Oryctolagus cuniculus: one gene and its partner. The protein of the gene in region 1 interacts with the protein of each later gene in a biochemical or structural test. Links are inferred from orthologs where the notes say so. Each region holds a gene or a part of one and is shown in the gene's direction. Other genes may lie near its edges.

What was found.
Region 2: the proteins of UBE2D2 (region 1) and TRIM5 form a complex in vitro, tested with the Homo sapiens proteins (2 studies listed by BioGRID). The link is inferred for Oryctolagus cuniculus from reciprocal best matches to the Homo sapiens genes UBE2D2 and TRIM5.

What each region holds. Positions count from the first base shown.
Region 1 is NC_091437.1:27,258,486-27,263,511, forward strand, and holds the start of UBE2D2 (ubiquitin-conjugating enzyme E2 D2), read left to right. Parts: upstream 1-1,926; 5' UTR 1,927-2,393; coding exon 2,394-2,417; intron 2,418-2,930; exon of another isoform or gene 2,931-3,449; intron 3,450-5,026.
Region 2 is NC_091432.1:61,208,325-61,212,559, reverse strand, and holds the end of TRIM5 (tripartite motif-containing protein 5), read left to right. Parts: intron 1-662; coding exon 663-769; intron 770-1,991; coding exon 1,992-2,092; intron 2,093-2,352; coding exon 2,353-2,379; intron 2,380-2,625; coding exon 2,626-3,197; 3' UTR 3,198-3,506; downstream 3,507-4,235.

The sequences.
Region 1 (5,026 bases):
GCTCAAGGACGTGAGTCCTTGCCACCCCGGCTGGAAGGCAAGATGGAATTCTGGGCTCCTGGCTCGGGTCTGGTCCTGTCCCAGCTGTTGTCAGCACTCTGGGAGTGGATCAGCCAACGGAAGAGCTAGCTGTTGCTCTACTTTTCAAGTAAATAAAATAACCATAAAAATTAAAAAATCGGAAACAATTTAAATGTCTCCCAATGTGTGACCAGTTAATATGGTACTTTTTTTTTTTTTTTGAAATATTTATTTATTGGGGCCGACGCTGTGGCTCACTTAGCTAATCTTCCACCTGTGGTGCAGGCATCCCATATGGGAGCTGGGTTCTAGTCCCGGTTTCTCCTCTTCCAGTCCAGTTCTCTGCTATGGCCCAGGAGGGCAGTGGAGGATGGCCTAAGTGCTTGGGCCCTGCACTGGCATGGGAGACCAGGAAGAAGCACCTGGCTCCTGGCTTCGGATTGGCACAGCGCCAGCCGTGGCGACCATTTGGGGGGTGAACCAATGGAAGGAAGACCCGCGCTGGCCCCCACATGTCTCTATTTCTTGCAACAAATGCATATTACTTTTCTAATATACAGTTATGGAGAAAAAAAATTTGTTAAAGATTTATCTATTTGAAAGGAAGAATTGGGTGGGGATAGGAGAGAGAGAGAAAATTTTCCATCTGCTGGTTCACTTCACTAATGGCTGCCGAGGACCGGTGCCGGTCCAGGCCTAAGCCGAAAGCCAAGGAGGTTCTTCCAGGTCTCCCACGCGGGTGGCAGGGGCCCAAGCACGTGGCGGTTGAAAACATTCTTAAAAACCTGCCCAGTGGTTATTTTGTACCTCTCTCAGATTTCTTAGCAAGAAAAGATCTGGGGCTGTACAATGTTCCTCTTCAGCTCGAAACTCAAAACACATCCACTCTGGACAGCTGGATAACGGTTCTTCACGGGGCCGCGGGGGCTCTGCCCTGAGGATACAACCCAGGCGGCTCCCCACTCCTGCACCGTGGGACTCAGCGGGCCCCAGTGTTTACCTTCTAATTTCAGGAGTTAGAATCGGTCTCTTTCAGATGTAAAGGAGGCAGCATTTGAATCACAAACCCTGCGGGTGAATGTGAGAATATGGGCATTTTCTCCCAGCAAAATATTCCTGGCTACCTCCCGCTAGTCTCCAGCTAGATCACGAACACTGCCTGGCCCAGGCTGGGCCGTGCACTACGTTATTCTGGTCCTGGTGGAGGGCTCAACAGACAAGGTGCTGAGCTAGCGCTCTGCTTTCAGCCCCTGAAAAACCACTTCCCACATTCCACGTTCGCCTGCTAGCAGGCGCAGGACGCTGGATTTAACTACGGGGCACCGCGTATTCGAGGTAACTGCACCAAGCACCTCCCCTAACGCTGACATGCCCTCTCCCGCCCGGGCCCTCGTGGCGAAGGGCAATCTCGGGGAGGATACCCCCGATCCCGGCGGGTGCCGACTGCCGCCACAAAGCTGCGGCCAAGTGGCCCGTGCAGACCCCAAGACTTCAGATAAGTCCGAGTCCGGCCGCTGAAGAGCTGTTTGACCTTGGACAAGTCCCTTCCGCCTTGCAGGGACTTTGCAACGTGCCAAGTGCCCGCTCGGGGGACTAACGCGGGAACGGGCTAGCGACCTACAAAGCCTCTGCTTTCACGTGCTTATCGAGCTTCAACTACACGCGCTGGGGGGTACGACACGCAAAGGATCCGAGGGGCGCCGCGCGGGAGCGACCAGAACCCGCGCCTCGCCTCTCGCGAGATCTCCCAGCGCTTCGCAGCGTCATCCCCTCGGCGGCCGCGGCGGCGACAGCGACGGCGCGTACGAGCCTCACAGGGGCGGCACGTATCCCTCCGCCGCCGGCGCGGCCCGGCCCTCCCTGCGCTGGCCCGCCAATCCCCGCGCCTCCCGGCCTGCCCCTCGGCCTGGGCCCACCCCGCGCTCGGCGGCCCCACCCCGGCGGCGCCGCCCGCCCGCCCGCGCGTCCCTCGGTCCACCTGCAGCCCGCAGGAAGGCCGGCAGTCCCTCCGGCTGTTCGACCGAGAGGCGCCCGCCGAGCCCGAGGCTTGGGCGCTTGCTCCCCGGCGGAGGGATCCGTGGCGGCTGAGGAGGCGGCGCTGAGCCTGGGAGGAAGAGGCAGCTACGGCGGCGGCGGCGGCGGCGGCGGCTGGGGCGGCAGCGCATAAAGGGGCCGCCGCCGGGTGATGCGGTGACCGCTGCGGCAGGCCCAGGCGCTGAGTGGGCCCCGGCCCTCAGCCTGTCCCGTCGGACCCGCGTCCCCCACCTCCCCGTCCTCTTCTGCCGACCCGCGATCCCGAGGCGGCCTCAGCCCCCCTCGTCCCTTCCCCGTCCCTCCCCTGCCCGGGGGGCCGCCGCCACCCGCCTCCCACCATGGCTCTGAAGAGAATCCACAAGGTAAGCCACCCGGGGTCGGCTGCGGGGCGCGGGGCGCCGGGCGCGGGCCGGCAGAGCAGCCTGCGGCCTGCACTTCCCGCCGTCGCCTCCGCCGGGCTTGCGGTCCCTGGATCCCGGTCGGCTGCGGGCGCCGGCCCCGCGGGGCGGCCTGCACACCCCACTCCCAGTGATGGCGCCCGTGGAGGCCCCGGCGCGCAGCCTGCGCTGAGGTCGGAGGTGCCCTCGCCCCCTCAGCGCGCCTCCCCGGCCGCTTTTCCCGGCCCGCGAGGTGTTGAGTCCCAGGGCCTCCGTCCAGCCTGGTACTGCTGAGTCGAGGGCCATTGTCCGGCCAGGCCGGGGTGGGGGGTGGGAAGGCTGGGCGTTGGGCTGTCCGGGCGCGCCCGGTCTCTGCCCACTCCGCACCCCGCCTGCCCCAGTTGCCTTCGCAGAAGCCCCGGAGCTCGGGGCCCCTATCTCGGGCCGCTGGAGGAAGCCTTTTTGCCCGGCCCTCAAGTAGTTCTTGAGTTCACTTACCTCTTGGGCGGCTGCATGCTTGGGTCCATCCTGCTTGTCCAGAAACAGAGAGCACAAAGTTCGGAAGGAAAAGCTGACCCTGATGAGGAAGGAGGGAAGTAAAAGCAGAAGGCGGTTTATTGCTTTGAGATTCCCATATGTAGTCGGCCACTGGCCCTTGAGTTTTGCGAATTGGTCTGCTAGATAAACGATTACCCTGCAAGGGTAGCAACCAGTCGTTTCAGAAATCTGACCATAGGCAACCACAGGAGAAATTTCAGAAAGATTGCTTTCCGCAGTCTCTTCGCAAAATGGGCTTTGAGGTTGAAATTAGGCGATACTTTTAGGAAATCCTTTTTAGGAGGAGTTTTACTAGGTTTTCTGTTAGAAAGGACTTTGCTCCTTAAAAGGAATGTTTATTAATTGCGTTATTTGGAAGGAGGTTTTCCTGATCCTTGGCTGGAACCATAGCCTTCACCCGATATTGGAAGCTGTCAATGCAGCTTACTATTGTTTTTGTTTTTTTCCTTAGAAGTGAGGAGGCACCACTGACATTTCTTTGGGTGTTCCACTTGGCTAGTCAGATTGGCTATATTAACCTGCAGCTGCTTAGGGAGAAGTAGGTGCTGGGATCCTGAGTCCTGAATGGTGGTGATGAGCATGCAAAAGGGAGAGAACCAGTTTTCGTCTTGCCTTAAACTAAGAATGCAGGTTGATGATTTAAACACCTCAGTTCAGGCATTGATCTTCATTGCATTTCATTAAAGATTGGAGACTTTTATTGTGAAATTATATTTTTTAAAATATTTATTTACTTGTTTGAAAGAGTTACACAGAGAGAAGGAGAGGCAGAGAGAGAGAGGTCTTCATCTGTTGGTTCGCTCCCCAAATGGCTGCAACGGCTGGAGCTGCGCCGATCTGAAGCCAAGAGCCAGGAGCTTCTTCCGGATCTCCCACATGGGTGCAGGGGCCCAAGGACTCAGGCCATCTTGTACTGTGTTCTCAGGTCATAGCAGAGAGCTGGATCGGAAGAGGAGCAGCCAGGACTCAAACCACGGCACCCATGTGGGATGCTGGCACTGCAGGCGGCGGCTTTACCTACTATGACACGATGCCAGCCCAACATTGTTTTCTATAAATTAGATTAGATCATTAGCGACATTTTTGAATTTAAAGCAAATGATAAAGAGCAGACTTTAGATAAAGTAAATCTTGTAATAGAATGAAGTGTTTGTTAAAAGAAACTTGAACTTAAAGTAAGGTCTTGGGAGTTAAAAGCAGGAGCACACTGAGGAATGTTCTCCCAAGTGAAATGTTTGTGAATAAGTATTTTAAGACTTCTAGAAGTTATTAGGTTCTAACAGAGTTTAGTGGGGAAGTTATCAACCTGAGTTGACACTTGGTTTTATTTCTGTAGAAGAATGCTCTTATTTTAAAACCTAAAGAGGATTGTGAGTACAGTGTATAGTACTTCACAGATCCAGAAATGTAGCATTTAATCTGTGCATTGATATATTGTGTTATGGATAACTGCTTTGGAGAAGAAAATAGCACTTTGATTCACAATACATATTTTAATCTAGTAATACTTGTACCCACTAATAAGATTTCTTTTGAGTTACTATCTATTTTCTAGAATTGTCTTTTTCTAAAATATACCCTTAAAAAATTTTTTTTTAGTAAAAACAAGTTTGAAAATGATAATTTGAACTTTCAAATCTCAGCATTAACCTCTTTTTCCCCCCCTGGTTTTTTTTTTATTATTTTTTATTTTTTTTTTAAAGATTTATTTATTTATTTGAAAGTCAGAGTTACACAGAGAGGAGAGGCAGAGAGAGAGGTCTTCCATCTGCTGGTTCACTCTCCAGTTGGCTGCAACGGCCAGAACTGTGCCGATCCGAAGCCAGGAGCCAGGAGCCCCTTCTGGGTCTCCCACGTGGGTGCAGGGGCCCAAGGAGTTGGGCCATCCTCTACTGCTTTCCCAGGCCACAGCAGAAAGCCGGATGGGAAGTGGAGCAGCCGGGTCTTGAACCGGCGCCCATATGGGACGCTAACACTTCAGGCCAGGGTGTCAACCCACTGCACCACAGTGCCAGCCCCTCCCCCCTGGTTTATAA
Region 2 (4,235 bases), on another chromosome or scaffold:
AACTGGGACTTAGGAACTGAGTCTCCAGTATCAGTTGTCATTGTCTCAAGGGGCAGCTTAACCTGCTGTACCACAACTTCAGTTTATAATCTGATTCTACCACGTATTAAAACAACAACAACAACAAAAAAAAACATTTATTTGAAAGAGTTAGGAGAGACAGAGAGTTAGATCTTCCATATGCTGGGTCACTCCTCAGATGGCTGCAATGGCCAGGGCTGGACCAGGCTGAAGCCAGGAGGTCCGTCCTGGTCTCCCACAGGGTTGGCAGAGGCCAAGACACTTGGGCCATTTTCCATTTCTTTTCTCAGGCCACTATTAGGGATCTGAATGGGAAACTGAGCAGCCCAGACATGAACTGGCACCCATACTGGATGCCAGCTTCACAGGTGGTGGCTTTGCCCACTACAGCACAATGCTGCCCCCTGCTACAGATATTTAAAGAGTTAGATCAAGTGTGTGACTGTCCTGAGGAGAGAGGCTAAGGGAAGAACCTGCGATTTCTAAGTATGGGTAGCAGACACAGACGGGCAGATATTATGTGTTGATATGTAGTTTTTCTATATTTTGGGAAACTGACAACCTTACATGAACCTGCTGAGGTGATTATCTTGAGTCTTATAATTACTTCTCTTTCACACTGGGACCATGTCCATTTTCAGCACATCAAGGGCTATTGGGATGTGATGAAGCATTGCAAGCAAGGGATGCCTATTATTACTCATGTTTTTTTCTGTTCTCCTCAGGATGTGAATGACATCATTTACAGGTACGTGTTGTGTGAATCCAGGGATGGTCCTGTGATGCTGTGAGAAGAGATTTGTAGCCATTAGAATTATTTAATATTCATATAGAAAAAAAAGACCCAGGGTGGGGAAATTTATATGTCATGATATCCCAAATTTCTGATGATAATTCTCAGATTGACTGTTCTGCAACTACATGGAACAGACAAGATTCTATGGTCGAGAATTTGAGTTGTGGAAGTCACAGGTTTGCTGTCAGTATTGATATTAGGGATAAGATATATTAGTGTCAGACCCCTGTGATATCACTATGGAATTTACCCTCTGTTCCTTCAACTAGATCTGTTTATGTACATAAAAATAATATTCTGGAGGGCGTGTATCGTTTTTGTCTGCTAAGTACCCATAATGTCCAGTGAGACAGTTCTTGCATATTTTTTCCCCTCTGGCAATAGAAATGATCAGGTCCTTCTTCGTGGTTCTATTTAGATATTCAAAAACAGATTTGAATCTCTTGGAACAATGCTTTCGTTCCCTCATACAAACACTTGATCCATCTTAGTTGTCAGATACTTTCAAAGAGTGTGGAAAGGTGTCATTTTGATGTCTAAACCTTTGTAAAATCAAACTCCTTCCAAACACATGGAACTCAGACTAGTATTACTTTGCTGTTTGTAATATGTCCTTTGTGAGGTGTTTGTAATTTTCACCCAGATAGTCTGGGATCTCAGGTGTTGTCTGAGGGCCAGGCTGTTTTTTGAACAGTCTTTGAAGATCTTCGGAATCCCCAGATAGGAAGCCACATTTGATATGTCTCAAACTTCCAGGAATCAGTTTCTACAACCTCACTTTCTATCTCCCTTGGAACCTCTACCCAAGGCATTGATTCTACCACATATTAAATACTTTATAAGGTAACAAAGTTTGACTTCATTTTCATTTTCAGGTCTATAATTGCATCTTCCTCTATGAGTCTAGGATATGCAGAGGGTGAATTTAATTATTTCATTTTAGAAAGAAGAAATTGCTTCTGAGAGGTCCAGATCTGTTCAGGTTCACACAGGCAAAATAGATGGAAAAGTGAACATCAGAAAATTCCTTCTGGCAGGATTCTACCCTCTCCCTTCTCAAGAACCCCCTTAGAGAGGATTCCAGTGCATTAGTGGAGTAAAATGATAAGAAGCTGATGTTAGGGGAACACAGGGTCAGAGGTGTGGAGGTCAATTTTGTCTTTTTGCATTTTAGGACTGAGACCTTCACCTTGAAGAAGCCAAAAACTTTTCCTGAGAAAGAAAGGAAATCATTTCAAATTCATGAGCTGAAAAGGACAATGCAGATGTTTCAAGGTTAGGAGAGCTAGATCCAGTGTCTGGCTGTGGATGAGGAGATACTAAGTGGGAAAGCGGGTACAGTTCGTAGATATGTATTGAAGAGACAAGGGAGGATGCACGTTGTGTGGTAATGTGGTCCTATTTAATGGGGAACCACAAGGTCCTGGTTCACTGTCCTACCGTTGTCCTCTCTCCTTCCCCTAATCTGGTGAAGAAATAGATTTCAGTGCTGTCTTATTTGCTTATATTCAGTACTATGATTTTTATCATTTCAGACCTGAGACATGCCCAGCGCTATTGGGGTAAGTGTACATCACAATATTACAAGCCATCCTGTTGCCATCTTTCAGAATTTTGTTCTCTAGTAAGTCTCATGTTGATCACTCATGTTTCTCTTTTCAACACACATGGAGTTTCTGCAGTGTTCTGCCTCTGCCGATGACCAAAGTTCCACCAAGTTCCAAACTCTCAAGTTCTTCTCAAGATTATTCTCATAACATACAAATAACTACATCATGTCCCTAACCTAACCCTCTATTTTTCTACAGTTCACGTGACATTGACTCCAAGCAACAATCAAAATATTGTCATTTCTGAGAATAAGAGACAAGTGATGTATGTGCATTACCATCAACGTCTCAATTTATTTTCTCTTAGTGATGATCATGGCTTTCGATATGGGACTAGGCAGAATTATTTTGATGGCATCCTGGGTTGCCCAAGTATCACATCAGGGAAACATTACTGGGAGGTAGATGTGTCTGGGAAAAGTGCCTGGATCCTAGGTGTATATGGCCCACCCTTATTGCAAACCACAACATCGTTTGCTTATGAACAAGTTTCAAAGTATCGGCCTATAAATGGCTACTGGGTAATAGGGTTGCAAATTCAATATATTTCTTTTGAGGAAAATGCCATTTCCTTAACACCCATTGTTCCTCCTTCTCGTATTGGAGTTTTCATAGACTATGAGGCTGGCATTGTCTCATTTTTCAGTGTTACACAGCACAAGTTTCTCATATATAAGTTCTCTGCGTGTTCTTTTTCTAAGGAAGTTTTTCCATATTTCAATCCTATGCATTGTCCAAAGCCCATGACAATCTGCGAGTTGAGCTGTTGAGCCTCCTTATACCCTCCACTTCAGTGTGGTATCTCTTACCCTGGGGTACATCTCTTGTGTCTAAGCCCATCTGTACCATTTTAACTATTTTTTCCTTTTGAGTGTTTCCATCCTTTCCATTTGAATGTTTTTCATTCACTGTAAATAAATGGTTTCTAATAATATGTATCAGTTTACTTTCAAAATTGTTTCCTCCACCATGTTTTAAGAAATAGAATAACTTGATTAAAGAATCACAAATTATTTATTTTTAGCAAATTGTAAATAATTGTCTCTGTATAATTAAAAAAATTGTTCCTATCAAGTGCATAGCTGTGTCATCTTTTATTTTTTATTTCTGCAATAATTCTGCTTCATTGGAAATCTTTTACTGTGTTTATTTAAAGTGTTGTTTAAAGACTTGTTTGCGGGGGCCGGCGCCGTGACTCACTTGGTTAATACTCCACCTGCAGTGCCGGCATCCCATATGGGTGCTGGGTTCTAGTCCCGGTTGCTCCTCTTCCAGTCCAGCTCTCTGCTGTGGCCTGGGAAGGCAGTGGAGGATGGCCCATGTCCTTGGGCCCCTGCACCCACGTGAGAGACCAGGAAGAAGCACCTGGCTTCTAGCTTCAGATAGGCATAGCTCCGGCCTTAGTGGCCATTTGGGGGGTGAAGCAACGGAAGGAAGACCTGTCTCTCTGTCTCTCTCTCTCTCACTGTCTATCAAATAAAATTTAAAAAAAGACTGATTTGCCAGGCCAAAGCTAGGAGCCTGGAATTCTATCCAGGTCTCCCATGTTTGTGCAAGTGCCCAGGGACTTGAACCATCATCCTCTGTTTTTCTAGATGCATTAGCCTGGAGCTGGATTAGAAGTGGAGCAGCTGGGACTCAAACTGCTGCACATTTTGGATGCCAGTGTTGAAGGTAGCAGTTTAACTCACTGTATCACAATGGCAGTCCCTCTGTTTATTTTTTAAATGAATTTTAAAATATATTTTGCACAGTGGTACAAGGAGAGGCAGAAGTTGAATTCTGAAAATTCTTGATTATAATGTAGG